2 linked regions of the Caenorhabditis elegans genome follow. The protein of the gene in region 2 purifies or fractionates together with the protein of the main gene of each other region. This does not show direct contact. Each region holds a gene or a part of one and is shown on either strand. Other genes may lie near its edges.

Region 1 (17,088 bases), 2.8 Mb from region 2:
TCCGAATTTTTTCCCTTAAAAAAGTGGATTTTCGTATTTTTAGGCAGTTTTTTTCATAATTTTTTGAAAAAAAGAGGAATTTCTCGTATTTTGGCTAAAAAAATGACGAATTTTTTTTGATTTTCCTGAAATTTCATTGATTTTTTTTGAATTTCTCGTCGGATTTTCCACAGGTTTTTTAAATTTTTTAAAGGATTTTTCAGTTGATTTTCTGAGATTTTTTCACTAAATTGAGAATTTTCGTTCGATTTCCTGGAAATTTTTTTGACATTTTTCAAATTATTTACTGATTTTCTTGCCTCTTATTACGGGTTTTCACCGATTTTTAGCGAAAAAATCTACCGATTTTATCGATTTCGTATCTCTCGGATTTTCTTGAATTTTTGCAGCGATTTTTAGTATTTTCGGTGAAAAAAATGTGGATTTTCTAAATTTTGCGATTTTTTTTTAATTTTCGGATTTTTAGGCTGTTTTTTTTTGTTTTTTTTTTCTAATTAATTTATCCAATTTTCAGCTGGAACTCGATCGTTATGTGCCTCCGCGTGCTCGTACCGATGGCTCTCCTCGCCTGGTACTTTACCAACGAACATCCGAACGCGCTCCGTTGGAAGAATCCGGCAATGCCGAAGCAGTATTCATACGATTTCTACCGTGCCTACCCGTTCGACGATCCACGCAAATACCCAATTGTCAACTATTCGTTTGATTTGGAATAGAAAATTCCTTAGTTTCGGTTGTTTTTTTTTTGGTAGTTTTCTCCGTTTTCTCCTTTTTTGTACTATAAAATATTCGAATTTTATCATTTTTTTTTTTGCCTTTTTTTTGCCCTTTTTTCAGCGTTTTTAACGCTTTTATACCTATTAATTCGTTTTTTTTGTTGCTTAAAATTGCGCCTAATTGAAAAAAAAATTCCTAAATTTTATATGATTTTTTGAAAATTGAAAAAGTCTCAGTTTTCACCCCTAATTCCTATTTGAATTACCGCTAATTGGATTTGTTCGATGGAGCGCGCTTGCACGTTTTTAAGTTTATTTATTTTATTTTTTGTTATTTTCCACCGATTTTCAATTTTTTTTAGTTTTCGGTGTATTTTTACATGAATTTTAGAGAAAAAGTCAAAATAAATGCTAAATTTCGATTAAAAAGCACGCTTACAGGCGTAAAAATGACAAAATTAATTAATTTCACTGATTTCGGTCTGTACGCATGGTTTTTATTCGAAAATTTGCATTTATTTCGACTTTTTCTCTAAAATTCAAGCAAAAATACACCGAAAACATTAAAAATCGGTGGAAAATAACAAAAAATAAATAAATTTAGAAACGTGCAAGCGCGGCGCTCCAACGAACGAGTTCAATTGGCGGAAATTCAAATAGGAATTAGGGGTAAAAACTGAGATTTTTTCAATTTTCAAAAAATCATATAAAATTTAGAAATTTTTTTTTGAATTTGGCGTGTTTTAAAGCAATTTTCCCACTGGCGCTACGCTACTCCACTTTTAATTAATTAATTATTTGGAAAAAAAATTCAGAACTCGGCGCTGGACGCCCCCGCACAAAATGCTCTTCCTCGATGATTTTTTAGAAAGTAAGTGGTTTTTTTTGTTGCAAACTTTTCCCCTATAAAAACACCCAAATTTTCAACGTTTTCCAGTGCTCGATGAGCTGCCTGCCGAGCTGAAGGAGAGAAGCGATGAAATTCGGCGAATCGACAATGAAGTTGAATGTAAAATTTCGAAATTTTTCTGAATTTTTCCCTTCATTTTTTCGAATTTTTAGCCCGTCTAAACCGTAATCGAGAGGCGATCAACGATTTTTTCGAGAGAACCGGCGTAAATATGCCCGAGGAGCAGAGAAAGGAGCGCTGCAAGGTTTTGCAGGAGGTGAATTTCATGAAAATTCCTGGAACTCGAATTTGGCAGCAAATTGACACGAAAACGCAGGAAAAAGTTGATTTTTGCCACAAAAACGGCTAAAATTCGTGAAAAATGAGAAATTTCGCTATAAAACCCGTTTTTCTAGCTTTTTCGTGAAGAAAAATGAGAAAAAATGGGATTTTTTTGTACTTTGCCTGATGTCATTTTTTCACTTTTTAAGCTTTTTTTTCCCACAAAACACCAAAAGTGCTCAAAAATACTCAAAGTGAATGACGTCTAAAAACACTAAAATGAGGTCGAAAAACTCAAAAAGTTGCTCAAGATCCGACCAAGTTGTAACCTTTTCGGAAAAAAACCTAAAATTAGAATTTTGTCGTTTTTGATCGTTTTTTGAAGCTTTTTCTTCACAAAAATAGCTTAAAAACGCAAAAATTAGCCCAAAACGCTTATAAATCTCAAAATGCATCCAATTTTTCAAAATTTTCCGCTAAAAATAAAGGAAATACCGAAATTTTCAAAAAATGAGCATTTTTCCGCGAAAAAATCCCAAAATTCCGCTAATTTTTCAGAATTTCTCGGAAAAAAACGGTCGAAAAAATTCCTTTTTTCACTGAAAATCTTTTTTAAAAAACAGGACAAAAAATCGCAAAATTCAGACAATTTTTCGGAATTTCTTGTTAAAAAGTGAAAAAAAAGCTGAAAATTTAGCTTTTTTCACGAAAAAAAATTGAAAATTCAACTAATTTTTGGGAAAAAACATTTACATTTGCATTTTCTAATTTTTTTTTCGTGGTTTTCTAAAAAAAACTTTCAAAATCTCAAAATACAACCAATTTTGCCGAAATTCTTGGAAAAAAACCCTAAATTTGCATTTTCTATTAATTTTAAAAGCTTTCTCCCCCAAAACTACCTTATAATCCCAAAAAATCAGCCAATTTTTCTAATTTCTCTTTAAAAAAAAAGCTGAAAAATTAGCTTTTAAAAAAAAAAAAAGCTTAAAAATCCCAAAATGCCAATTTTCCAGATTTTCTCGCGTTGAAAGTGAAGGAAATGCCGAAATTATAAAAAAAAATTAGCTGTTTTCACAACAAAAAAAAAGTCGAAACCCCCGAAAAATCATAAAATCAACCAATTTTTCAGAATTTCTCTTTAAAAAGTAAAAAAAAGCTCAAAAATTTGCTTTTTTTTTTCAATAAAAATTTTAGAATTCAACCATTTTTTCAAAATTTCTCGTTAAAACGTTGAATAAGCTCAAAAAAAAGTTTTTATCACAAAAATAGCTGAAAAATGGCAAAATTTCTCTTAAAAAATGAAAAAAAAAGTTCAAAAATTTGCTTTTTCACAAAAAAAAAATTGAAAAAACCCAAAAAATTGCAACCAATTTTCTTCAGGAATTCTCCACAATCCGCGTGCTAGCTCAACGCAAATATCTAATCGCCGAAAAAATGCAAGAACTCCTCAAAAAGTACAAAGTTCACTTGGAAAAGGAGAAAACCACGTTCCAGTGTGAAATGGAGGCCGACAATTCAGGAGTGACCGAAATGATCGAAAAACGATATACCCAACACGTCGAATCTCTGCTCACAGCGAGAAAAGAACGAAAACGTCGTCATCGCGTGGGCGGTGGTGGTGGTGGTGGAGGATCGTCGTCGAGAGCATCGACAGTCGCTTCGGGACCACTTTTATCGAAAGAATCAAAGGACAAAATTCAGCGGATCCTTCAGGAAGGTGTTCGTCTTCGAATGGATCTTTCCGATGAGTCGGCACAATCGGCACTATCATCGGCTATACCATCACCAGCGCCACGTGGGCGCCCGCCAAAGATCGCAAAGGATCAGCTGTTGCTGTCGTCGGCGGCGATGGTGGTGGCCAGTGATGATTGTCTGACGCCAGTGCCACCAACACCGACGGCTAGGGTGAGGAGCTAGCTGAAAATTCGAGAAAATTCGCAAAATTTGGAGCCCACCTACCACGGCCTCCTGTTCAAAGAACTGGCGAAATTTCGAATTTTAGCTAAATTTTGAATTTTCAAATAATATTTTTCAAACATTTTTGAATTTCAGCCTAAAATCCGCAAAATTTGATCGTACAAAAACCTCACAAAATTGATAAAATTTTCCCGTTTTTTGGGTGTTGTTACAAGAAAAATTTGACGAAATTTCGAGTTTTAGCGTAATTCGTCTCTTTTCAACTATTTTTTTAGCCTAACCGCCACATTTTTTAATAAAATTTACGAAAATTGGCCGTTTTTGGGTCATTTTGGACCGTTTTCAGCTAAAAATTAACTTTTTGTTTCGAATTTTCAAAATTAAACGAAATTTGGCTCTTTACTGACTAATTTTTAAGCCAAACCGCCATGATTTTCTGGAAAATCAGCCTATTTACAGGAGGACTAACGGTTTATTGACCCAAATTTTGTGCTCAAATGAACGAATTTCGTAATGAAACTGCTCGAAAATGTATTTATGGCGGTTCAAAATTTCGAAAATGACACTGATTTTAGCTAAAATCTCGAATTTTGGTCATTTTTCCGTGTCACAGCTGTAGGAAGTTGGTTTTTTTTGGAATTATCATCCTTCATTGCATATTTTGGTAGTTTATCTCATTTAATTTCATTGATTATGGTAAATTTAAAGCCAATAGGTAACCAAAAATCATTAAAATTGGTCGCCTATAGGCTTTAAACAGACCTTAATAAACGAAATTAAATGAGATATTAAAACCAATATATGCAATCAAGAATGATATTTCCAAAAAAAGCCAACTTCGGACAGCCGAGACACGGAAAAATGACCAAAATTCGAGATTTTAACTCAAATCAGTGTAAGTTTTCGAAATTTTGAAGCGCCATAAAACATTTTTGAAGAATTTTTGAGCAATTTCAGTATGAAATTCGTTCATTTGAGCACAAAATTTGGGTCTATACGTTCCAAATCGTCCGAACCGTTAAATAGGCTGATTTTTCAGCCTAACCGCCATTATTTTCACGAAAATCAGTCGTTTTTGGAGTGAAAAAACTAAAAATTCTCTAATTTCTCCAAATTTCAGCGCCGCTCAAACACAAATGCTCTCCGCGGCACAGTCTCCATTCCAAGTGCTCTTTCATCAATGATGAATCGTGGTGAATCGACATCCCGCTTCTCACCGAATCCCTCCGAACGTAGTTGGTCAAACGCCGGAATCGACGAATCATCACCGACGCCGACGACAAGCCTACTGATGACACCGACGTTCTCCTCAGGACCGCATATCGTCGTTTCGCCGACGACTCCAGTTCTCCAGAATTCGGCGTTTGTGGTGTCTGAGAGCCGTCATGGTAGAACTCGGAAGCTGACCAGTAGAGTTCAGGAGATGTTTAAGGAGACTCTACAGCGGCAGCGGAATCATGGAAATTCAATTATAGCACTACAGGAGAGAATGAGTGCGGCGAATCTGGCGGCGGCGGCTCAGCACGCTCACGCTCCGACGAGCTCTTCACCACAATCACCACTTCCGGAGATTGAAGGAGCCGCCGAGGATGATGATGAGGAAGGACCGAGTTATCGGATTAAGCGGAGCCATCCGATGATGGCTCCGGGATCGGAGGATGAGGAGGATGAGATGCATTGGTGTTTTTGTAATGAGAAGAGCTATGGAGATATGGTTCAGTGTGATAATCGTCATGTTAGTGTGGGCTTTTTTAATGAAGGGAAAAATTGAATTTTTCTCCGAAAATTGAGCGAAAAATTCAAATTCCCAGCAGAAATAGTGCGAAAAAAAAATTAGATTTTTTTTTGTTGTTTTTTATTACCAAAAATTGATTAAAAAATGTGAATTTTCATCAGAAATAATGCAGAAAATTACTGTTTTTTTTTCTTCGAATAGTGCGAAAAATTGAGTTTCCATCCATTCAAAAAATCAAAAAATTTGGATTTTCACACGAGAAAACAGTGCGAAAAATATATAATTTCTACCTGAAAATTGCAAAATCATGTTGCTATATTTGCGGTGAAAATTCACTTTTTTGGTTAGTCAAAGATTATCAAAGATCTTATTAAAAAAAAAAAAAAAAATTTCCATTCAAAAAATCGAAAATTGAGCGAAAAATTCAAATTTCCAGCACAAAATCAATAATTCGTAATTTTTGATGAAAATTCATATTTTTTCATGGAAAATTGTACAAAAAATTCAAATTTCCACCAAAAATTGAGTTTAAAAAGTGAAATCAGAAATAATGCACCGAAAATTAAATTTTTGTTTCAAAAATAGTACGAAAAAAGTTAATTTTTAACCGAAAATTATTTTTTTTTTAATTTGAATTTCTACCACAACAAAATGCTTAAAAATTGTTAAATAGAGTGTTTCCTTGGAAAAAATCACAAAAATGAAGTTTTCACCAAAAAATTGCGAAAAATATATAATAATTTCTACCAGAAAATGCAAAATTTTGCTTTTTTTTACATTTTTATCGAAAAATTTCACGAACATTCAGAAAAATTGAATTTTCACCAAAAAATTGGAAAAAGTTGCAATTTATATTATTTTTAGGCTAAAATCAACAAAATTTCTGCGTTTTCAACGGTTTTACCAAAAAATGTGTTACAAAAATTCGAAATAGTTGAGCGAAAAAATTAATTTCCACCTAAAAATTGCAAAACTTTGCTATATTTTTGGTGAAAATTCGATTTTTTGTTGGTATTATTATCAAAAAATTTTACAAAAAAAATAGAATTTTCATTTTAAAAAAATCCCGAAAAATTAAAATTTCATCAGAAAAATATTTTTAAAAATTGATTTTCCACAAAAACATGCTCTTGAATTACAAAAGCAACTGAAATAATACGAAAAATTTAGATTTCGAAAATTAAATTGAATTTCCACTGTAAGTATTTCAAAAATTAGAAAAATTAAATGGAAACAAACACAAAAAAACATAAAACACGAAAACATGATTTTTAAAAAATTGTTTAAAATAATTACAATGTGGAAATTTCATTTTTCGCACTGTTTTCGGTGAAAACTCAGTTTTTTTCCACAAATATTACAAATTACATCCATCCATCTGAAATTTACACCAAAAACCTTTAAAACAAAATACAGAAAGTCTGAAAATTTCAACAAAAAATTCTAATATCTAAATTTAAAAAACATTTCTACCAAAAATCTGATAAACTGAATTTTCATCGAGACCATCACCACCAAAAAACTAATTTTTGACCAAATTGAGTGCGAAAAATCGAATTTCCATCAAAAATATTATAAAACATTTTGTTTTCTTCGAAAAGTAATGCAAAAAAGTAAATTTCCGCCACACAAATATATTTAAAAAAAGTTGAATTTTCATCAAAAACTACAAAAAATAGAATTTGCCTGGAAAATTCTAATTTTTTCGAAGAAAACAAAATGTTTTATAATATTCTTGATGGAAATTCGATTTTTCGCACTCAATTTGGTCAAAAATTAGTTTTTTGGTGATGGTCTCGATGAAAATTCAGTTTATAAGATTTTTGGTTGAAATGTAAATTTTTTATAGCACTTTTGTAGCTATATGTTTTTTAAATTTAGATTAGAATTTTTTGTTGAAATTTTGGAAAAAATTATGGGAAAATGGTAGATTTGTTTGTTTGTTTTTTTTTGTTGGAAAATAAAAAAAGTAATAAAAACCACAAAAATATCAGTAAGTTTCAACCTAGATTAAAAAAATAGCTACAAAAATTTGGAAATTAGTAAAGTTGCTAGAATTTTTTAAATTTCTAATTAATCCCATTTCATTTGCAGTGCACCCTCCGCTGGTTCCATTACCCGTGCATTGGAATGGTCGAGCCTCCGACTGGAAAATGGTACTGTCCGCGGTGTGAAGTTACGATGGGAATTGCTCTCAAGCTGTCCGAAGAGGGAGAAGTCTAATATAAATATTATGACTCCCCATCAACGATAATTTAATAATAATAATAATAATGATTGGCCTGAAATTTTCCCAATTTTTTTAAAACATTTTTATCTGAAATTTTCCCCAAAGACTCTGATGCTCTCTCACATTTTTTTTAAAAATATTTTTAAATACCCCAAAAAAACAATTGTAAAAATTCCAATTAATTTTATTTTGCACACTATTTTATATATTCCCCCCCATGTTATGATGTCCCATGATTCTCAAATTTCTCCTGCATTATTCTCTTGTACAATATACCCTAAAAAGTTTTAATAAGGATGAACTCGATAATTTTTAAGATTTTTTTTTTTGGATTTTTTTTTTGAAATTGCATGCCACTTGTTTTTTTACTCTGATTTGTATTTTTTTTATAGGCATTTTTTCCATTTTTTTCCAGATTTTAAGAAGTTTTTAGAGTTTTCGATGGCTGCAGAAAAGAAAGTTTTTGTGATTTTCGATCATCAGGAGCAACGACACGATCAGCCATGGCCATCATATCATATTGAAGTTCCGAGGAGGCTTGATGCGATTTTGGAGAGGCTTAATGTATGGGGGGAAATGAGCAAAAAATTTGGATTTTTAGGGGGAAAAGCCGGAAAAAAAATAAATTAAAATAACAAGCACAACTATTTTCCAATAAAAATGAAAAATACAAATATTTGCATATTTCAAAGAAAACCTCGGAAAAAAAAGACTGAAATTTTGAATTTTTTTGAGAAAATTTCAAAAAAATGTGCAATTTTTTTGAAATTGAAATTTCTGAAGTTTTGGAATTTTTCAACAAAAAACCTTATATTTCTAATTAAAAAACCGCTTTTTTCGAATTTTTCAAAAAAAAATTAAGAATTTTGAATTAAAAAAATTTTATTTAAAAAAAAAAGGAATTTCTCAGAAAAAAAATGCTGTTTCGTAATTAAAACAATTTTATTTTAAAATAACATTTTTTATCGAATTTTTCGCAAAAAAAATGATTTTTTAATGATAAAGAAGAAAAGTTTTCATATTTTACAACAAAAAAAAAACCCCCCAAATTTTCATTTCCAGACCACAAAACTGCTCACCGACCCCCGAATTGAGCACATTCCCCGCCGGGAAGCGGAAGAATCGGAAATTTTGGCGGTACACACGAAACGATATGTGGATGACGTTAAATCGACAGAAACGATGACTGTGGTCAGGATTTTAGCCGGAAAAAATTGGAAGAAAATTGTGCACTAAAAAACTGATTTTTCAAAAAAAAAATTTTTTTTTGAAAAATTCGAAAAAAAAATTATTTCAAAATTTTTTTTTCAACTTTTTCTGGAAATCTTGTTTTTTTTTCACAATTTACAGTTTACAATAACATACAATAACAGAGGTTCGAGGTAAAAAAAATTATGTAATTTTTTAAAATAATTTTTCTTTTGAAAAATTCGAAAAAATAAAAATTTTCAGACCCTTTTTTAATTTTTTTTTCTGGGAATCTAGTTTTTTTTTTTTCAAAATTTTTACTTTTTCTCATTAATAGTTTCAGAAATTACTTTTGAAAAAAAACGAAAAAAAATTTTTTTTTTCAAAATAATTACAACTTTTTCTGGAAATCTGATTTGATTATGATTATGGTAACGAAGTTCAGAGAAAAATCTGTTTCTTTTTTTCAAAATTTGCAATTATAACAGAGGTTTTAGACTATTTTTTTAGAATTTTATTGTAAAATTAAATTTAAAAAAAGTTTGAAAAACTCGAAACAAAAAAAATTTTTTTACAAAATTAGCAGTTTTATCTAGAATAACATGGTTGCAGGTTTTTTTTTGTAAAATTTAAAATAATTTTTTTTTTATTCCAAATAACTTTTCGAAATTTTTTAGATTTCGAAAGTTTTTTTTGTAAATCCTTTTATTTCAATATTTTTTTCAAAATTAGAAGTTTTTTACCTACAATAACAGAGTTTTAGGGTATTTTTCAGATCTATTCGGAAAAATTTCATCAAAAAAATTTGTTTTGAAAAATTTCAAAAAATGTTTTTGCAACATTTTTATATTTTTTGGGAATCCCTTATTTTTTTCAAAAATTCTTTGTAAACAATAGAAGAGGTTTTAGGCTATTTTTTTGAATTATTCTAAAAAAATTACACAAGACATTTTTGAAAAATTAAAAAAAAAATTTTTTTTGAAAAATTTCAAAAAACGTTTTTGCAACATTTTTATATTTTTTGGGAATCCTTTTATTTGATTTTTTTTTCAAAAATTTTTTGTCCACAATACAAGAGGGTTTAGGCTATTTTTCAGAATTTTCAACAAAAATGTTTTGAAAAATTTTCAGGAATTTCCAAAAAAAATGTGTTTTTTTCAGACGTTCAAAAAAATTCCAGCAATTTTTTCCAATTAAAAAAAATTCCAAAAATATCGATTTTCCCAAATTTCCAAAATTTTCATTCCAGGAGCAACAAGAATCATTCTGCACCAAATACGAAGACATCTACGTGAACTCTGCCACGTGGCACCGTGCAAAACTCGCCGCCGGCGCCTCAATCGACCTGATGACGTCAGTGATGGCCGCCAAAAGGCCCGGAATCGCGTTTATTCGGCCACCCGGGCACCATGCGATGCCTGACGAAGGATGCGGTTTCTGTATATTCAATAATGTGGCAATTGCGGCAAAAGCGGCAATTCAAAATGGTCAAAAAGTGCTCATTGTGGATTATGATGTACACGCTGGAAACGGGACTCAGGAGTGTGTGGAGCAGATGGGAGAAGGGAATGTACAATTGATTAGTATTCATCGTTATGAAAATGGACATTTTTGGCCGAATATGCCACAGACTGGCATTTATCATAATTGTTAGTGTTTGTTGCAAAAAAATTAGAAAATTAAAAAAAAAAATTTTGAAAAAAAATTGCGTAGAAAAGTCAAATTTTGAAAAAAATTGCAAAACAATTTTAAAAACTTTTTTTTGAAAAAAAATTTCCGTCGAAAATTCAAAAAATTTAAAAAAAATTTGAAAAAAAATTTTTCTCAAGAAAACAATTGCGTGGAAAATTCAAAATTTTGAAAAAAATTGCAAAAAAATTTTTTTTGACAAAAAAATTGCGTGGAAAATTCAAAATTTTGAAAAAAATTTAAAATAAAATTTTTCTCAAGAAATAAATTGCGTAGAAAATTCAAAAATTTGAAAAAATTGCAAAAATAAATTTTTTTTCACAAAAAAATTGCGTGGAAAATTCAAAATTTTGTTTTTTACGGTATTAGGTCTCGACACGAAAATTGTGTGTTTATTGCGAAAAGGTGTGCGCCTTTAAAAATTACTAAAATTTGGAGATTTGCGGATTTTTTTGAAATGAAAAAAACTGAAAATGAAAAATCGATAAAAATTCCGCAAAGTTTAGTTAACTTTTTGCAATTAACAAAACAATTTTCGTGTCGAGACCTTTTTTTTTTGAGAAAAAATTAAAATTTTGCGATTTTCCGAATTTTCTAGTAATTAGGGTATTTTGAAGGAAAACTCTTACTGAAATTGCGATTTTTGCGCCGAAAATACGGTATCACCGGGGTCTCGACACGAAAATTGTCTTGTTAATTGCGAAAAGGTGTGCGCCTTTAAAGGGTGCTGTAGTTTTAAACTTTGCGGAATTTTTTATCGATCTTTTAAAAAAATCGATAAAAGTTCGAAACTACAGTACTCTTTAAACGGCGCACACCTTTTTGGCAATTAACAAAAAATTTGTCGTGTCGAGACCCCGGGGGTGCCGCATTTTTTTTTAATTTTTGGCGCAAAAAAGTCACAAAACAAATTGAAACAGTGATTGAAAACAAAAATTATTTGAATTCCCTCTAATATGCGAAGCCACGCCCACTGTCTAACCAATCAGCGCCTTTGAACTCCGCCCACTCTGTCTGATTGGTCGAAAAATGGGGGCGGAGCGAAATGCTGATTTCAAAATTTTGGGCGTTTTTAAGAAAAAAAATATAGCAAATTTTCAAAAAATTTTGCAATTTTGGCTCAAAGTTCGCAAGACCAATCAGCGAACCCGGCTCCGCCCACTGCGCTGATTGATTAGAAAAGGGGGCCTCAAACAGACCAATTTTTAAGCATTTTTCCAGACAAAAACACGATAAACCTGCCGCTAAACACCATCGGGCTCACCGATGCCGACTATCATGCTCTCTTCACTCACATCATTCTCCCCACCATCCATGCCTTCCAGCCCGATCTTCTCCTAGTCTCTTCAGGCTTCGATGCCTCCATCGGCGATCCTGAAGGCTCGATGCAAGTGACGCCAGCAGGATTCGCTACGATGATTCGGATGCTTATCGACACTGGGATCCCTGTGGCGGCGCTTCTCGAAGGCGGCTACTTCCTGGATGCACTGGCCGCGGATTCGGAATGGGTGTTGCGGGCACTGCTGGGCGAGGAGATCCCACGGATTCGGGTGGAGAAGATCCACTCGGCGATCGCTGACACGATTGGAAGAGTTGTGAAGAGATATGAAGGTTCTTGTCCGTTCTTCAAGAAGGTTCAGGAGCTCCGGGGGATTCTGGGATGCCGAGTAGCCGAGGAAGATCAGCAGGAGGAGGCTACAGACTACACGGGAGAACGGACGGTGCACCCGCCGTACGAGACACGTGGCATTTATACTCCGTTCACAGAGCAGAAGGTGGCGGAATTTAAAGGTCCGGTTCGGAGGGGCTGTCCCATCAGGCTGTCCCATTACGCTTTGATCTACAAAAAATGCGGGCATTTTTTCCCCCAAAAAATGTGACGTCAGCAGAACACTCTGCGTCTCTTCTCCCGCGTTTTTTTTGTAGATCAACGTAGATCAAGACGAAATGAGACACTCTGACACACCACGCATTCAAGATCTGGTGGGATTCCGGATCTACGATTTCCAGATCTGGGCCAACGACGATGCTCCGATGTTACGCGCCGCGTGTGCTGTTAAGCGCATTTTCCAGAAGAAAATTTCAAAAAAAAACCGCGCTTCCGTTCGAGCACGTGGTGTCAGGCTGTCCCATCACGGTTTGATCTACAAAAAATGCGGGAATTTTTTGCTCAAAAAAGTGACGTCAGCACCGGGCTGTGCGGCAACCGGGATTTTCGGCAACCGGCAATTGCCGAAGTTGCCGAACCCAAAACTTTTCGGCAACCGGCAACTCGGTTGCCGGTTGCCGCTCAGCCCTGGTCAGCACACGTTCTTAACCATACAAAATCAGTTGAGAACACTCTGGGCCTCTTCTCTCGCATTTTTTGTAGATCAACGTAAATCAGGCCGAAATGAGACACTTTGGCAGACCACGTGTGCCAGATTCGGATTCCTCTCAATTTTTGTCAATTTTCCGAAATTTTAGATCAACTCGAATCGATACTCGCCAGCTACACAACCCCTCCCGACTTTTCCGCGGAAACTGAAGCATTCCACAGTGCCATAGCCCCTCACAGCTCAGAAATCAACGATTTCTACTTTGGAGTCCACGAGGACAAGATCCTGCTCGGCACGAGCCCAGCGGTTCGGCTTTTCTTCGAACTTCTCTTCACCGCACCCTACGACCCGAAGCACACGATAAAGCTGTACGGAAAGGTGAAGCCGGAGGATTTTGGCAAAATTGAGTTGGATTCCAGAAGTCTTGGGGAGATGAAGAATATTTCGATTTTTAATAATTTACCCATTTTTCAATTGTGATATGTGATTTTTTTTTGTTGGTGAATTTAACAATTAATTGTGATTATCTACTGTGTTATCTACTTGAAATGAATATTATTTCATGAAAAAATCTGATATTTAACCTGTAAACGCTAAAAAAAAAACAGAGAAAATTGGGATATTTTTAATATTTCCACAAAAAAAAACCAAATTTTTGCCACTTTTTCCTCTTATTAAATCAATTTTTCAACAAAAACCTCTGATATTTGCCTCTTCAGTGACTTTTCCCTCGTTTTAAATTGATTTTTCAGCGAAAAACCCTTCTTTCCTACTTTTTCCCGTGCTAAATTGACTATTACCGAAAAAAAAAATCAATTTCTGCCATTTTATACTTTTTTAAAATTAAATTTCTGACGGAAAACCGAAAAATTAGCATTTTTGCAACTTTTTCCTGTTTTAAAGTGATTTTTCACCGTAAAAACCCCCAATTTCCGGAAATTCCCGATTCAATAAAATCCGCAAACACAAATATTCCGACCGCAACGCGACCGCAACGCGTCTCTCCCCCCACTTTTCCACTTTCCCGCCATTTATTTATTTCATTTGTCCAACTCTACTGCCTCCTCTGCATCGTTGCTCTATCGATAAATTTTTATTTTATTTATAAAATTACAATTACACCGTAATTTATCACGGAAAAGCTTCGCCGAGCCCGAAAACCCGGAAAAATTGTGAGATTTTTCCAGAAAAATCGATGGAGACCGCGCCAGACGAAGCGCCAACCGAGTTCTTGGAACCTGGCGAGGAAATTGTTGAAAGTGAGCATTTTTCTGGGCTCAAAAAGGCTCAAAAAAGCTTAAAATATTTTTTAAAACACTGTAAAAATCTGCAGATGTGATCGAAGAGGAAGTAGTGCACGAAGAAGACGTGGAGCATCACGAAGAAGACGGAGAAATGATTGAAGTTCAGCATGAGGAGGTGCTCGAGGAAATTGTCGAGGAAGATGGAATGGTCAGCTGGGAATTCGCGAAATTCCATCATTTTTGCGATTTCGAAAATTCGAAAAATCGATTTTTAACGAATTTTCACGAAAAATCGAGGAAAATTCCAATTTTTCTTGCTTTTCTAGTATAAAATATCAATAAAAACCAAGCATATTGTTTTAAATCAGCAAATTTTTGGTTTTTTTTCACGAAAATATCAATATTTTTCCCTCAAAATTCACATTTTGAGCCGAAAAACCACTTTTTTCCATGGTTTTCGATTTTTCCTCTTTAAAATATCGATTTCTATGGGAAAAATCATGAAAATTCGCTAGAATTTTGCGATATTCAGCGAAAAAGTCCAATTTATCCTACAAAATGCCGTAAAATGACTGAAAACCAGCAAATTCCGGATTTTTTCGCTACAAATTCACATTTCCAGCTTAAATTCTCCAAAATTCCGCTATTTTTCAATAAAATCCAGATTTTTTTTTGCTGAAAATTCAAATTTCCAGCCAAAATTCCGTATTTTTCGTTAAAAAATCACATTTCCAGCCAAAATTTTCTAAAATTCCGCTATTTTTCACAAAAAATCCGTACTTTTCCAGCCAAAATTTTCTAAAATCCGCATTTTTTCATATAAATTCCGGTATTTTTTCTCTAAAAATTCACATTTCCAACTGAATTTCTTTAAAATTCCGCATTTTTTCACTAAAAATTCACATTTTCATCTTAAATTCTCTAAAATCCGCCAATTTTTCATAAAAAACCCAGATTTTTTCGCTAAAAATCCACAAATTTCCAGCTAAAAAATATCTGAAATTCCGCAATTTTTCGCAAAAATTTCCAATTTTCCACCTAAAATTCCGATTATAAGCTGCAAAATTACAAAAATTTCACAAAAAAACCGTGAATTTCGGGAAAATTCCACTAAAAAATCGGGTTTTTGCCCAAAAAATTTCTTCAAAATCGCCAAATTTTCATGTTTTTTCAAATTTCTTAACTTTTAAAACGCATTTTAGGGTGAAAATTTCACGAAAAACACATAATTTCAAGAAAATTCCGCCAAAAAAATCGGATTTTCCCCGAAATTTCCCGAATTTCCAGATGTACGACACCGATGGCCGTGTAAAATTCTCCAAAATTTTGCTATTTTTCACAAAAAATCTGGATTTTTTCCCTGAAAATCCACATTTCCAGCTTAAATTCTCTAAAATCCGCATTTTTTCATATAAATTCCGGAATTTTTGACACAAAATTCACATTCTCAGCTCAATTTCTCAAAAATTTCACCAATTTTTCGCTAAAAATGCAAATTTTCAGCTTAAATTCACACAAATTTCTCAATTTTTCATATAAATTCCGGAATTTTTGACAAAAATTCACATTCTCAGCTCAATTTCTCCAAAATTTCACCAATTTTTCGTTAAAAATTCGCATTTTCAGCTAAAATTCTTTAAAATCCGCCAATTGTTTGCTAAAAATCCCGAGTTTTTCATCGAAATTTCCGATTATAAGCTGCAAAATTACAGAAATTTCACAAAAAAAAACCGTGAATTTCGGGAAAATTCCACAAAAAAATCGGGTTTTTGACCAAAATTTCGTCAAAACCGCCAAATTTTCATGTTTTTCACATTTTTAAAGTAAAAATTTCACGAAAAACCCGGAAAATCCGCCAAAAAAAATCGGATTTTCCCCGAAAAATTTCCCGAATTTCCAGATGTTCGACACCGATGGCCGTGTAATCGAGTACAGTGACGTCATGGTGTACGAAGAAGGCACCGAAGTGATCGAGGAGTACGTCGAGGTGGAGGATCTCGGCGACGGCCGCTACGCCTACGTAATGACCGACGATATAGGCCATCGGCGCCTACTAAAGCCTCACGAGGTGGAGGCCGTAAAGAAGATGCCCGGCATGATGGAAGAAGAAGTCGTGATGGATGATGAGAAGGCCCCAAATACAAGCTACGCGGCGGCCCAAAAGAGGGGTAGATTTCCTCCTCAAGCCCGAAGCAGCCTAAGCCCACAAAAGCCCAGAGCCGCCGGGGCCTATATGGGCCCAGAGGCCTACTACCAACAGCCCAAAAGAATGACCCATATGGCAAAGGTGGACGTGGAAAAGTACTCGCCAGTGACACCCGTGAACCGTCGGCCGCTAATGGATAACGCGATTTTTAAGTCTAAGCTTCCCAGAAAAAGTGCTCCATGGCAAGAGGAAACTGCTGCCAACGGGGGGCCCCAGTCTACAAGCCTCATCAGATCCCCGTCCCCAATGCTCAAAGAGCCCCTATTCGATGATAACGAGATTCGATTCAAGTGTGCAGAGTGTGGAGATGGATTCCCTGTAATGGATCGACTCTGTGATCATATGATCAAGCAACACGACTGTCAGACAAATGTCCGAGAGGTTCAGTTCTTCGCAGATCGGGATTTCGAGAATTTCCTGTTAAAAGTCGAGAAGGCCACCCTGGGCCGAGATCCTGAAGACGCGATTCGCAAAAAATCACGAGCCGGCTCTTCGCAGCTTTTCGTGTGTAATTATATGAATAAAGGCCGCCAAAAGATGGCCGAGCTTGTCGAAGTTGGCATCGTTGGGCTCTCCGAGCGACCGCTTGAAGTTTGTACGGCGTTTGTGCAGAAAACTCATGGATAGTGAGTTTTTTTGTTGCACTGCAACTTTTTCCTCACGAGGGACGAGGA
Region 2 (13,933 bases):
GTTAACTGAATTTCAGCCAAACTTCAGGAGATTATATTGAAGCTCTGGACAGCTAGACCTGACCGTTTGCAGAGGCAGTACTAGAGTATAAGTACTTTTGTTGTCATTTTGTTTTGGACGGATATACTTTCGAAATCGACAAGTCATATGATCCGACTTCTGAAACAACTTTATCAAAACATAGTACTTTGTAGGACAGAATTCATATGTTAAATTCTAATTTCTATTGCGGCAATTCGAGAAACGTCGGAAACTTTCTCAGTGTAAATATGACGTCGGGTAGCTTCTGCTGATCAATGATCTGATATGTGTACAGTTGAATACAAGCCACAAAAGTATTCTTCGACCCCGGATATTGCGATTTCTGCAGGATGTTCTTTGTACTTTTTGTTTGAAAACCAATCTTTTGATATTTCCTTATCAATTCGTTTGCATTGTTTTTATCTAGCTGCAGCAATATTTCAAGGGATGTACTCTCCAAGTTCTTGAAACGTGCATTTACAGAATATGGCCAAAGAACAATTGTATCTTCTGCCATCTGATAGCTGGGGGATCGTTTTCTATCAATGATAACTGATTAATCAGCTGAACCGACTAGCAGAGAGTAGGAATTTCGGTCAAACGTCATATGTTCGCTGACTTCGTGACGGATACGCTAACACATGGTGGTGAATGGGGGGGGGGGGGGTAGTATGTAGAATGTTTTGATTTACGGTCAATCTGGGTACGAATTGTCAGATGAACCTAGTATAGGTACAATTGAAAAATAGTTCGCCGAAGCACGTGATCCTATATAAAGCAGGGGTGTACCGGAATATAAGGTTTATCCTTCAATTGCCTAAAATTCTATTGTGGCCCTTAACTAGGATCCGAGTAGATCCATTCTAGTGGGATCACACTTTTTGTAACGCTCTTTAGTCCCCCGAACACCTTCCCGCTAAACATGATCCTAACCTTCTTTGCAGCCTCCAACTGCTCGACTGCAAACGAAACAGCTTCCAAATTGGAAAATGATTTCCAGAGACCGTCGCAGGCGATGATGGCAAATCTGAAACAAATCGAATTAGCGAATGTCGTTTAAATTGCGAAGGAATCAAATCGATGACACATTGAAGATCATTTGTGCAATGGTTTTATGGTTTTATGGATGACAACGCTGCGCCTTTAAAAGTAGTTTTTGTTATTTCGAGGAATCTCATTTTCGCCGTTTTATGTTCAACTCCGTAGGTTGTGCAATAACTTTTATTGTATGTTGTTAAAATGTTACGTTCCTTTATAGCTAGAAACACCAGAAATTATTTTTTTCGATGTTTCGGAGACGTACTTAGTACATAAGGGGTTTCTCTTTTCTGAAATATGGTGTCTAATCCAAGGATCAAAGAGACCATTCTTTCATAATTTCAGCTTTTGCTCTCTATTCTCGTCTTCGAGGCTCTCATCTAATCCAATCGATGTCCAGTGCGCGCGCTAAGGCAGAGTGCTCATATTTGCCTCTGTGCGCTCTCTCGCCTCTTGCCAGAGAGCACTTTTTTCTTTTTTCCCCAATTGACCTGACACTTATTCATTAGGATGTCGATCGATGAGAGCCTCGAAGATGAGGATATTCCTCAAACTGCTCAAACTACAATTACTAGTTATTGTTCTAGTGACGTCATCAATAGTCTCAACGAAGCAATGAACCCACTTATAGAGCAAGGTCTAAAGGATATTGGAACAAAACAGGTAAGTCTAATTTTTTATAACATGAAGTTTTTGCTACGTGGCCTAGTGATGTCAAAAACTCGACCAATCATTTATTTTTCTTTTTCTTGTTCCTGAAACTTGCCGAGGATGGTCTTGAAAAGGGGTTTCTAAAATTCCAAAAAGCCGATTTTCGAGAAAATCTTAGTTAATTTTATGAGAGTGGTCGAGTTTTCTTATTTCACGGCTACGTAGTAAAAGTGGACGCTATGCTAAGGAAGCTTGGGATATCCCGCGATCCTTTGTTTCTTCCGCATGCTTATCTGATCATAGTTCGTAATGTTCATTGAGCGTTTGATTTCGATATTAATTTCGATTTCAACGCCAATGCCACCTTCAATTTTTAATTTCCGTTGTTGGAATTTTCTAATAACCCGAATAACCACTAGAACAACAGGCACGTGTGAGTGTAGGCGGGCGAGCGTCTTGATATCCTATGACACAGACTGTATGAAATGGGGCGGTACGATTACCGGGTGTCTTTTGGTCCGTAGTTGGGTATAATAGGGAAAAAGTGCGGAAAACGAGTTAGTTTCTACGACAATGGCTTCCTCGGTCAAAGTTACACCAGTTAAAGATATTGCTCATCTTGAGGAAGCACATTATGTCGAGGAGGTCGACGTGCGAAACGATAAGATCAAACTTGAATCGATTTTTGAAGGACTTGGAAGCTTCGGAAGGTTAGTTTTTAATATTTTTTGAGTAAGGAATTCTGGCAAAAATTACCGTAGTTTCCCTATTAGACTTGCACCATTTCAGTTGACGTTTGCTCTAATAAAAAACTGTCAACTGACAAAATACTTGTTAGTACCTTGTAGAATACTGTTTAACTTGTACTTTTTTTTCATTCCTAACTAAAATTTCGTGAAATTTTTCCTAAAAAATTCATTCCTAACTAAAATTTCGTAAAGAACTAATCATTAAATCATCAAAATTTCAGATTCCAACAAATCCAGTTTATCTTGATATGTATACCTATCGCCTTCGTCTCGATGCATGTGATGAGTTGGACTTTTGTGGTATCTCCGGCCAGAAAAATGTAAGTTCATCGGTCAAAGACGCCCACGTGGTGCTGAAACTGTCATACGTAATGACGTCTGCTGTAGTGATATAGTATCAGGAAAACAAACATCGTAAATATATTTGTTCATTCATTCCTTCCTTCCTACAGATGCAATGAAACCAACGAAACACGGATTGATGGCTGCGAGGAATTGGCCTACTCTGCATCTGACAGGGTAAGAACAACATCAACGAACATTTGAATTTCAAATAATTCACATATATTTCCTATTTCAGTGGGAAATGGATGGAGATAACGGATGGATCCGAGCAACAGTCCAGGCAGTATACTTCATAGGTCAAATGATTGGATCCTTCACCTGCGGAGTCATGGCAGATAAGATCGGACGAAAGAAAGTACTTTTCTGGTGCCTAGTGCTTCAAGTGGTATGCGCTCTCTTATTAATTGTAGCTCCCACTTGGTGGATCTATGCGATTTTGAAGTAAGAAATCCTATCATGATTTCCAGTTACATAAAATAAATTTCCAGAGCTGGAACTGGATTCACTCAACCTGGGATCTATGGAGTCGCCGTTGTCTTGGGAATTGAGCTTGTTGGGAAAAAGTACCGTAGCTTTATTGCAGTCATTGCCAACGTCTTCGGTGTTATCGGAGGGGTAATTTGAAAATATCAGGACTTAAATATTAAAGAACTTGTTTCAGGTGTTACTGGCAGTAATGGCCTACTTTATAGTAGACTATAGGCTTTTGCATGCATCTATTGCAATTCCATCCCTAATCTTCATAACCTACTATTGGATGATCCACGAGAGCGCCCGCTGGCTTGTATCTCAAGAAAAATACGACGACGCCAATGTAGTTCTGTGTGCAACTGCAAACTGGAACAAGAAAACGATTCCAAAGAACTGGGCAGAGAAAATAGAGAAAAAGATGGATGTGACTGCAACAAAGAAAAAGGACTCGTTCGGAGTCTTTGATCTAATCAGAACACCTCAGATGAGAAAACGAACCATCGCAAACTTTGTGATGTGGCCAGTGACAACTATGATGTACTACGGATTGACAATGAGAAGTGACGTTGGCGGAGGCAGTTTGTTCGTCACATTTGTCACTTCTCAACTCATGGAGCTTCCTGCTGTCATCATCGTTGCATTGCTAATTGACAGACTTGGAAGACGTATCATGTATTCTGGAGCTATCTTCACTGCTGGAATGCTTCTTCTGGCTAGTTGGCTTACACATGACTTGATTCCGAGTCAATATGCAGTTATTATGCTGATGGTTGCAAAGGGAGCTGTGTCAGTTGCATATACTGTCATGTACACCTACACATCTGAACTTTTCCCAACAGTTATTCGCAATACTGCAGTTGGATGTTGCTCGACAATAGCTAGATTTGGAGCAATCAGTGCTTCTTTCATTGCATTCTTTTTGGTGAGTTGAGCTCAAAAAAGTTCAAAAAATTCCAAAACATTCCTAACTTTTCAATTGCAATAATTTTAATTTTCAGGTTGATAGATTCGGCCGAATCGTCATGATTATCCCATTCACAATACTCGCTTTATGTGCATCAATTGTCTCATGGACAATGTTACCCGAGACCGTAAACCAACAACTTCCTGACTCGATTTCCGAAGTGGAAGGCAACAAGATTTAATTTTCAACATTTACTTTAATCATTTTCACACTTACCCTCTTCATAATTATTCTAATAATTTTTGTATGTAAATAATGAACTTACAAGTCATTTTTGGTGAGCGTCAGTTTTTTGAGATCCGGAGTACTGATGATGCCAAGTGATTTGAATGGCAAATCTCCAATTGAACGAGACACTTCGATTACTCCATTAATTCGACCATCTCTGGAAAATTAATAGTTTATAAATCGTAATTATTGAAAGCAGATACATCATAAATTACCCAAAATGATTGGAAACAGTCTCAATATACCTAGTATAAACGTTTAAATTATTTTTAGCATTTTAAAACTTTTTTTTAATTTTACAACAAAAAAACTTCTAAAGGTTGTATTATTTTTGAATTCACGCACAAATAAATTGCCTAGTTTTTACATTTATTCGTTTTCCGGCTATTAAAAAAAAGATTTTCATTGTTTTTCAAATTGCTTCTAATTTACAACATGTTGCAACATCGATTCAAGTCAGAAAGCATTAAAATCAGTAGATCTAAAACTTCAACTCACTTCACAACTGCTCCAGCTTTCTGAATTCTCATCCTTTCATCATGAGACATTGGATCGTGATCTACAGTAAGACAAACTGGTGCAAATGATCCATCTTCTTTCTTTCTAGCAACAACAGCTCGACTATCACCAATATTTGCCACGTAGATCACATTGTTCAGAATGATCATGGTGGTCGCGGTGGTTCCATCCTTCCAGATAGGTTTACTGAAATTTTTTAATTTTTTAAAAAATTAATTGGGGAATTTTTATCTCATTAAATCATACTTCTGTTTGGCAATTGCCAAAAACCCGTCGTCCACTGCTTTGTAGGATTCTGTGAAGGTCTGCTTGAGTGATTTAGTCAATGTTGGGAAATCCGAAACTGAAATTTCCGAAAATTTAATTTTCGAACAAAAATATCAAAAGAATTGAATACATTTGGCAAGTTTTTCTTTGACCGTTTTACCCATCTGACTCTGACAATGCTCTGCGGCGCGTGGTCCTGCGTGACCATCAAAAATCGCGAAAAATGATGCACGAGACCTGAAGAGGGAGTATTGGAAACTGTGAGACTTGGACTTACAGAAATGATTTTTCGGTTCCTAAATCGAATTTTGGAAGCATTATGTGAGTGTCTTGCATGTCAGCTCGTTCTCCTTTTCGACAACCGTACGCGGCAAGAGTGCAGTAAAGATCTTTAAATATAATTGGTATTTTTATTATTTCAGGCGCGAAATTTTGTGTTTCTTGGACCAAAAATACGGTACCCAGTCTCGATACGACAATTTTTGTTAAATACGAACAGATGTGCGTCTTCCGAATTTTTTTTATTTATTTTTCAGAGTTTTTCTCTTGATTTTGTAAATGTTTTAATCCATAAATATATTTTTATCGAAAAACTACAAAAAGTCGATAAAGATTCTGCAACTACACAAGTTTGAAACTACAGTACTCTTCAAAGGCGCACACCTGTTTGTATTTAATAAAATTTATTACTGAGATCGTGGTGAGACTCACTCTGAAACAACCAGCGTGCGCCTTTAAACTGAAGTTACGATACTTTTTTTTAAAATTGAAATAAATTTTGAAGGTTTTTCGAGGCACCACGGTTTCAAGATCTGATGGGATTCCGGATCTACGTTTTCCGGATCTACCATTTCCGGATCTACGTTTTCCGGATCTGGCACCGTGCCAACGCACAAAACGCTTTTCAACGCACGACTTTTTTCGAAATTTTCTTCTAGAAGAAACGCTTAACAATACGCGACGGGTAACATCGGAGCGTCGTTGTCACTTTTTTCTTCGAAAAAAATAGCGATTTAAGAGTTGGCACGGTCAGATCCGGAAAACGTAGATCCGGAAAACGTAGATCCGGAAATGGTAGATCCGGAAAACGTAGACCCGGAATCCCACCAGATCTTGAAACCGTGGTGTCTCGGCTTTTCATGAATTTCCAGTTTTCAAAGTTTTTCTATTTTTTTTCTATTTATTTCAATTTTCCCAAGCAATTTTTTTCAAAAATAATCAATAAATACTCACTTCTCGATTCCTTCGGTTTTTTCGATTCATCTGAATTATCGATCAAGTCATCAGAACTCCGTTTTCTGCTATCCGAGTACATTTTCTGTAAAACAAATTTGTTAGCTTGGAACATTTATGCACATTTTTGGTTTTCCTTATCGAGATTTTTCAACAAAAAATTGTGTTTATCCTGTCTAAATTTAAAATTTCCGCCGATTTTGTAGACGTGCAAAAATCGCATTGATATTCGCTAAACAACACGCGTAATCGTTATTTCGGAGTGTTGTACGAACCGCCGAATTGATTTTGTCCCTCCTTCTCTCTTGTTTTTGTGTGTTCTCTATTCAGAAAGTAGCGAATTTATTAAAATTTTCAAATTTGATTAATGAAATATTTAATTTGAAACAGATTTTTCATGTTTTTGCTCCAAAAATCAATAATTCCAGGATGGCCGCGTCTCTCCGTCATATGGCTCACTTCCAGAAGGCACTTCTCGTCGCCAGAAGCGCTCCAAGAATCTCAACAATCGTTAGAGCCACCTCTACTTTAAACGATGGAGCCAGCAAAGTTCCAGACCACTCTATGCACTTTAAGGTGGGAATTTTAAGGCTTAAAAGCAGAGGATAATCATAAATAATTACAGCTTGAACGTCTTTGGGCCGTTGGAATGCTCCCAATTCTTCCAGCATCCTACTTCATCCACGGACCAGTTATGGATGCCGTTCTCACTGTTGCCCTCACTCTCCATATTCATTGGTAAGGGAATTAAATCGATTTCACATATTATTTACTGAAAAAGATGGAAAATTTCGAAAAAAAAATCATAAATTAATTGTAAATATTATTAACAACAAAAAAATCAAAATTTTTCAGGGGAATCCACGGAGTCGTGTACGATTACGCTCGTCCATACGTGATCGGAGAGGCTGCTGCAAAGGCCGCTCACGTCGGAGTCTACCTCATCACTGGTCTTCTGCTCGGCGCACTCCTCCACTTCAACACCAACGACGTCGGAATCACCAAGGCCTTTGAACTAGTCTTCTCCCTCTAAATCAGTATTGAGAAGTTGAAAAGCTTTCATAATCCGTGTTCCGCCTGTTCATCTTCCCCGCTTCTCTGTTACTGCGAAATTTCCCCCGGCCTCAAGATTTAGTTCCGAGTTCTTTTCTAGTTCGAATTTTAATGTATATTCTTCCAAATGAACTGTTCTAACATCTGCCGAATTGATGAGATAATAATGAACGAATTGGATTATTTTATTCCAAATATTATATTGATTTTATTCAGATTTTTAAAGTTAAAAAATGAATTAAATATAATTATATTCAGATGGTTCACTCAGATGAATATAAAGCGAAACGACTTGAAAGGAAAAAACGGTTTATGCAACAAGCGAAGAAGAACAACGTTTTTAAGGTATAAATTAAGAAATAAATAACAAAATTTATTTAAATTTATATAGAAATAAATAACAAAATTTATTTAAATTTATATAAAAAATCAATTTTCAAGGCTCGCCGACGTAACAACTTCTCAAAACGACCGAATTTCCACAATCACCAACAGGAAAACCAACAGGAGCAACAATTTCAAAAACAAGACAGCACAGCTCTCAGACAACGTGGATTCTTCCAAGTTCTTCCAACTGATGACCTTCCACAAGTTCCGCAGTGCTCTCATGGTCCTTGTCTGCTGTTCGAGAAGAAAAATGGTCCAGAAGTCGAGGAGACATTCTTTGCATGTGCAATTTACAGAAATCAAGCCGAATTTTGCGATTTTAAGTTGACTTTCAACAAAGAAACCGGAGAAATTGAGGTGAAAGAAGCTGTCGAAGGAGAAGAAGACGCAGAGAAAAAGAAGAAGAAAAAGAAGATTTTTGGATATAATCGAATCCCAAAAGCGTGAGTAATTAAATGTTTTAAGAAATTTCCGAATAAAAAATATAATAATTTAATTCAGTCTCACCGAAATGTCACCAACGGACACAGTTCTGTATTGCAAAACGTGCATTAATGTGTTCCCGAACAAGCATGAATGTGTCTGTGAGCCCGTGGAACGAGAGGCTCTCGAACGACCAACTCACCTTCTTCCACCAGTAAATGAGCAACATGGAGAATCAGTGAGTATTTTTGCATTTCCAAACGTTTTTATTATCCAGACGCTAAATTTTGCTGGTTTCGGCACGACAAATTAAAATGGCGAAAAAAAAAACAAAACGGATGTGCGCCTTTAAAGAGTACTGTAATTTCAAACGTTCGATGCTATGGAATTTTCATCAATTTTCCATAGTTTTCCCACGATTTGTTGAATTTTATTTGTTTTATTTGATTTATTTAAGTTTTTTGAAAATTCGAAAAAAAGCGCTTTCAAACGCAAATTTTTTTCTATTTTTCCATAGTTTTTCGTTGAAAATATTTTTTATTTATCAAAATAGTATATTAAAAACAACTAAAAAAGCACATAGCTTTAACAAATTTCGAAAAAATCGATTAAAAATTGTGCAGCAACAAAAGTTTGAAGTTACAGTTCTCTTTAAAAGTTAACAAAAAAATTTTGTGTAGGTTCACCTACTTTGGCTCAAAACAATCTGCACATTTCATAATTATCACCCCAATTTTCAGCAATTCTTCTTCTCCACTGAGACACTTGATGTCATCACGAAAGCTGTTGAAAAATCAAAAGTCGACGGAATTCTGTGCATCGGAGCTCCTAGAGTGAGTTTTTTTTTTGAAAAACGAATTTTCAAAATCAAAACTTGGAAACAAAAAACATTTTTTTCAGATCTTTGAAAACATTCGAGCCCTTCACCCGGAAAAGAACGTGTTCCTGTTGGATTATGATAAACGATTTGTAAGTTATTAAAACCATTTCCTTTTCAAAATTTATCTATTTCAGGCCAAGTTCTTCCCATCGAAACAATACGCTCAATACAGTATGCTCGTTGATCACTTTTTCGATAAAATCGCAGAGCCAAAGCTTATGGAATTCTTCGATAAAAGCAAAAGCATCCTAATGATCACCGATCCACCATTCGGAGTTTTTATGGAACCACTGCTAAAAAGTATTGAAAAGATGAAGAAACGATTTGTGTCAACTGGGAAAGAGGAAACCTTATTTTATTCGATGATTGTTCTGCCGATTTATATTCGAAAATACGTGCTTCATGGAAACTTTTGGATGTCTGATTACAGAGTTAGTTTTGGAATTTTTTTTTGCTCAAAGTGAGCAGAAATGACCAAAAAACCGAATATAACTTGTAAAAATTTGAAAAATAATTTTCTAAATTAAATAAAAACAATGTTAGTGGGTTTAAAACTAAATTTTTGAACAAAATTTTTTTATTATGAATTTTCAACAAAGAGGTTTTTTTTAATAGAAACATTCAAATTATTTTTGAATTCAATATTTTTTACTTTTTCCAACTATAAAGAAAATCACAAAGTTCTAAATTAGCCTTAAAAATCGAAAAATGAACATTTATTTTAACTATTTTTTTTGCGAAAAAACGTCCGAAAATTTTATAAATTATGTTTAAAATCAAACAAAAAAACCTATCATTATACTTAAATATAGGCGGAAAACGAAAAAATGTCGAAACTAGGTTGCGGGAATTTAAAAATATTTCGGCCCTGTTACCACTTAAAAAAAAAAAAATTTTTTTTTAAGTAAAAAAACAGTTTTATTCGGTTGGGACTATTTCCTGCCATTTAGGGCAAAAAATGTATTGAATGTTACTTTTTTAAAATTTATTAAATCATTTTCCAGGTCACCTACGAGGGCCACAAGCTCTATCAACATTCCGAGAAAACGATCGTCCGCCTGTTCACCGATTTGCCAGTGGAATGCATCGATTTAAAGAACGTCGCCGGCTACAAATTCTGCGAAGTCTGCGATCGCTATGTCACCGAACGAAATGTCCATTGCGATCGTTGCCAGGCGTGCACATCAGTGGAACAAGGAAAATGGAATCACTGCGAGAAATGTGATAAGTGTGTCAAGCCGAGATATGTGCACTGTGCTCAATGTGCCAGATGTCATTTGTACGGGAGATGCATTCAGAAGCATGATGAATAATTGTTTTTTGGTTATTTTAAGGTTGTTCTGTTGAAATTGTTACCCTTTTTCTTTTATTGTTATTGTTTTTTGTTTCCCATTCCCTCTATCCTACTACAAAAGTTTTTTGTTTTTCTTAAATCATCATTTTATTAAGATGAAAAATCGCCAATTGTTTTTTTATTCTTAAGATGAGAACACGAAATCCTTCTCCTTCTCTACTAGTTATTCACACTTTAGAATTGAATACTCCACACACTTATTCTCTATTAGTGTTTGCATATCCTTCCATCCTAACAGCTATTCAACTGTTTCTTTCCGCTCCTTCTAGGCTTCTGATGACGTGGCAGCAGCAGAAGCATAGACCGGAAGCAGATGACGTTGAAATTCGGACACTTCGTGTCGTGACTCTCATCTCTGTCGGGATTACTGTAGCTGCGATATTACTTGGATTATTTGGCAGTGTTATTTTATTTGCGAAGACTTTGACGTTTCAGGTTTCAATAAAAAAACATAATTTCAGCTAGCTTGAAGTCTATTGCAGAACGAACTAGAATATGAGCTACGATATTGTGTGTCTAGATCTCACGATTTATGGGACATTCTGTCTCAGGTTAGTTTTGTGGAAAGAAGCCATTAAATGGGCGGAGTCTATTTTAGCTTTTTATTTATTTTTTAGAATATTTTTCGGAAATCGAAAAGTACTCGAAATATATTAACATACAGGCTCTGCCCATTTCTTGGCTGTTTTACATTTTCACAACAATTTATCCAATTTTTGCTGAGTTTCAATTTTTTTTAAAATTTCCTTTCATGTTTGCTGTAGTGTAAGCACAAACTTGCCTTATTCCTACCTTCAAGGCGACCTATGACTGCCTTGCGCCTACACAATAAGCACCGTAGGTAGGCGATAGGAAGGCATGAGTGAGGTACTAACGACGCCTCGAGCAGAGGAATGTTCGAAAAAGTGTCTAGAAAATGTAAATATACATTTGTCAGAAATAAATCAAGTTTTTTTTTCGAAAATCAGAAAATATTTTTTAAAAACCATTTTTCACAATTTTCGTGATAGCTTTCTACTACATATTTTCTATTTTCTGAAATTATTTGTATCGTGATTCCGTAAAATTTTGACATGCCAGTTTAAAGGTGCATGCGTAAATTCCGGCTGGGTCTCGCCACGATCTCAGCCACAGTGTCTCAGCTACAGGTGGCAAATTCTACAGATTTTATAATTTGATCTAACTTTACGGTTCCTTTTCCAGCTCGAAACGTCAAAAGGAGTTGCAATTTCCCAACGTCGAAAACGCCAATTCTTCATGAATTACTGTAACGATGTGACAAATTGTGGTGGACCATCGGATTGTGGTCAGGAGACTGGGTGTGCTATACATCCAGTGCATTCATGTGGTGGAGGTGGAGGATGCTCCCAGCCAGTTGTAGTTCAGCAGCCAGTGATTCAACAACCCATTGTTCACAGCCCACAGCAGGTGGGTAGTTCCTGCCTGACCTGAGTTTTTTCATATTTAGTTTCAGCAATTCTGTATTTTCGGTCCACCTGGGCCTCCTGGAATTCCGGGCCTTGATGGAAATGACGGGGACGATGGATCCGAAGGTTATCCTGGTGTTCCTGGAGCTAATGTTCCAGATACCGTACTTCCAGAAATTGATGATTTCTGCTTTGATTGCCCACCAGCGAGAAGTGGGCCGCCAGGGCCTCCAGGACCAAAAGTAGGCCTATTTGTTAAAACTTTTCAATCAGTCAGTCTTTACTTACAGGGCCCCCGCGGTACTCCAGGTCCAACTGGCCCAAAAAACTTCTATATTACATCAGGCCCACCAGGCCCCCCAGGTCCTCCAGGCCCACCCGGTAATCCGGGAGGCATTGGTCCTCGCGGCCCACCAGGTGATCCAGGCATAATGACTCAAGACTCAAGAGGTGTCGAAGGACCAAGTGGACCATCTGGACCACCTGGACCAATGGGGTTTCCTGGACCGAAAGGAATCGATGGATTTTCACAAGTGGGCTCAATGGGTCCACCTGGAAATCGAGGAGCTCCTGGTCGTGTTGGCTTGAATGGCCCGAGAGGCCCACCAGGAGATATTGGGCCTCCTGGGTCTGCTGGAGGATGTTCGGCTTGTCCCATTCCACGTGTCAGCCCTGGTTACTGATCAATTGGCCTCAATCTTTGATATTTCCCATGTAATTAACTAAATAAATGGTTGGGATAAATGGTTATCAACAAAAAACGCACAATGACGTAATCAAAAAGGCAAGGCCGAGATTGTCGAAGATTAGATTTTATCTGAAACTGCATTGAATCACCCAGTATAACCAATGATGCAATTTTGACACTAGCATAATTTTTGTTTTTAAAAATATTTTATCCCTGCTCCTAGGGTTCCTTTGATGAAATTGCCAACTTGATTGCGCAAAATTTCAAAATGAAATTTTTTTTAGATATCAATTTTGATTTAAACATTTAAATTCCGTTCAGTTCCCGGCAAACGCCCACTTTTTCTGTGCCTGAAAATTTGATGCCTACCGTAATCATCTTAAAGGCGCATACCTATCAAGCGATGGGTATCGAAACGATTAGCAAAATTTGATTTTTCTAATATTTTTTTTTCGAACTCAAACTTCTTTTTCTTCATTTTCGCCTTTTTTTAAAACGTTTTTCGAGTTTTTTTCTGCAAAATTATAAAATTAAATAATTTTTTAGTGTATTTTCATCAATTTTCTCCTCTTCCGCGGTGTCTTCCCGCTCAAAAACCATTTCGAACAAGGTTTCCGACTGGGTGGTCTACTTTTGTTTGTTTCCCATCAATAAATCCACGGGAATTCACCTATTTTGTCTCCCGCCGATCTAATTGTCGTCCTCCAAACAAAAAAGCGAAGAAAAAATGTTTTCTTCGCTCGCATTTCTTAATCCCCTTCTGCGTATAGTTTCTAATTTGTTTCCGCATTCTAGCTCTTTATTTCAACGTTTTCAGAGATTCTTCAGATAAATTATGCATTATTTAGTTTTGTGCAGCACATTTAAGCCGAGAGAGAAAAAGAGCAAGCACTCTATCGATCCGCCAGCAGCAGTGCGTGAGTGCGTGTGCGTGTGTGTGTGTGGGGGTATGTGAGTGTGCGAGAGAACCCTTTGCGCTCTTCTTCTTCTTCTTCTTCTCTTCGTGTGTATGAGGCCAACAACACAAGCCCCGGGCCGACCGAAACTAGAGAGATCGGAGACCGAGAATGTGCAAGGAACGGCGAAATAGCACCAGCAGGGGAAGGGCGGACGGGTCGAGCAGTGGTGGCCTCCCAGTCGAAACTACGCATACAACACGTACCCCTCGGTGTTCATTTACTCTCTCTCTCTCTTCGCTTTCGATTGTATTTGAACCATTCGAATCGGCCGTGTTG

The links.
Region 1: the proteins of ilkp-1 (region 2) and hda-10 fractionate together in Caenorhabditis elegans (co-fractionation; one large-scale study listed by BioGRID). This does not show direct contact.

What each region holds. Positions count from the first base shown.
Region 1 is NC_003280.10:13,874,503-13,891,590, forward strand, and holds hda-10 (Histone deacetylase domain-containing protein), read left to right. Parts: upstream 1-8,202; 5' UTR 8,203-8,210; coding exon 8,211-8,333; intron 8,334-8,831; coding exon 8,832-8,960; intron 8,961-10,206; coding exon 10,207-10,606; intron 10,607-11,867; coding exon 11,868-12,437; intron 12,438-13,112; coding exon 13,113-13,444; 3' UTR 13,445-13,531; downstream 13,532-17,088. Other genes in the region: ndub-8 (NADH dehydrogenase [ubiquinone] 1 beta subcomplex subunit 8, mitochondrial), read left to right, coding at 515-716; ing-3 (Inhibitor of growth protein), read left to right, coding at 1,560-1,587, 1,654-1,725, 1,779-1,882, 3,268-3,792, 4,925-5,539, 7,634-7,762; mcd-1 (Modifier of cell death), read left to right, coding at 14,160-14,223, 14,298-14,416, 16,109-17,040.
Region 2 is NC_003280.10:11,042,895-11,056,827, reverse strand, and holds the start of ilkp-1 (PPM-type phosphatase domain-containing protein), read right to left. Parts: upstream 6,574-13,933; 5' UTR 6,569-6,573; coding exon 6,487-6,568; intron 5,643-6,486; coding exon 5,531-5,642; intron 5,491-5,530; coding exon 5,384-5,490; intron 5,330-5,383; coding exon 5,233-5,329; intron 5,173-5,232; coding exon 4,966-5,172; intron 4,663-4,965; exon of another isoform or gene 4,625-4,662; coding exon 4,505-4,624; exon of another isoform or gene 4,421-4,504; coding exon of another isoform or gene 4,274-4,420; intron 4,198-4,273; coding exon of another isoform or gene 3,466-4,197; intron 3,420-3,465; coding exon of another isoform or gene 3,293-3,419; intron 3,246-3,292; coding exon of another isoform or gene 3,040-3,245; intron 2,979-3,039; coding exon of another isoform or gene 2,912-2,978; intron 2,780-2,911; coding exon of another isoform or gene 2,681-2,779; intron 2,421-2,680; coding exon of another isoform or gene 2,284-2,420; exon of another isoform or gene 2,242-2,283; intron 1,723-2,241; coding exon of another isoform or gene 1,570-1,722; exon of another isoform or gene 1,505-1,569; intron 1,049-1,504; coding exon 955-1,048; intron 1-954. Other genes in the region: F45E10.2 (Major facilitator superfamily (MFS) profile domain-containing protein), read left to right, coding at 1,570-1,722, 2,335-2,420, 2,681-2,779, 2,912-2,978, 3,040-3,245, 3,293-3,419, 3,466-4,197, 4,274-4,420; sdhd-1 (Putative succinate dehydrogenase [ubiquinone] cytochrome b small subunit, mitochondrial), read left to right, coding at 6,916-7,062, 7,112-7,224, 7,342-7,519; F33A8.4 (CTCHY-type domain-containing protein), read left to right, coding at 7,798-7,884, 7,981-8,369, 8,428-8,587, 9,090-9,182, 9,250-9,318, 9,364-9,660, 10,234-10,542; col-83 (Nematode cuticle collagen N-terminal domain-containing protein), read left to right, coding at 10,860-11,018, 11,066-11,134, 11,787-12,011, 12,058-12,252, 12,301-12,693.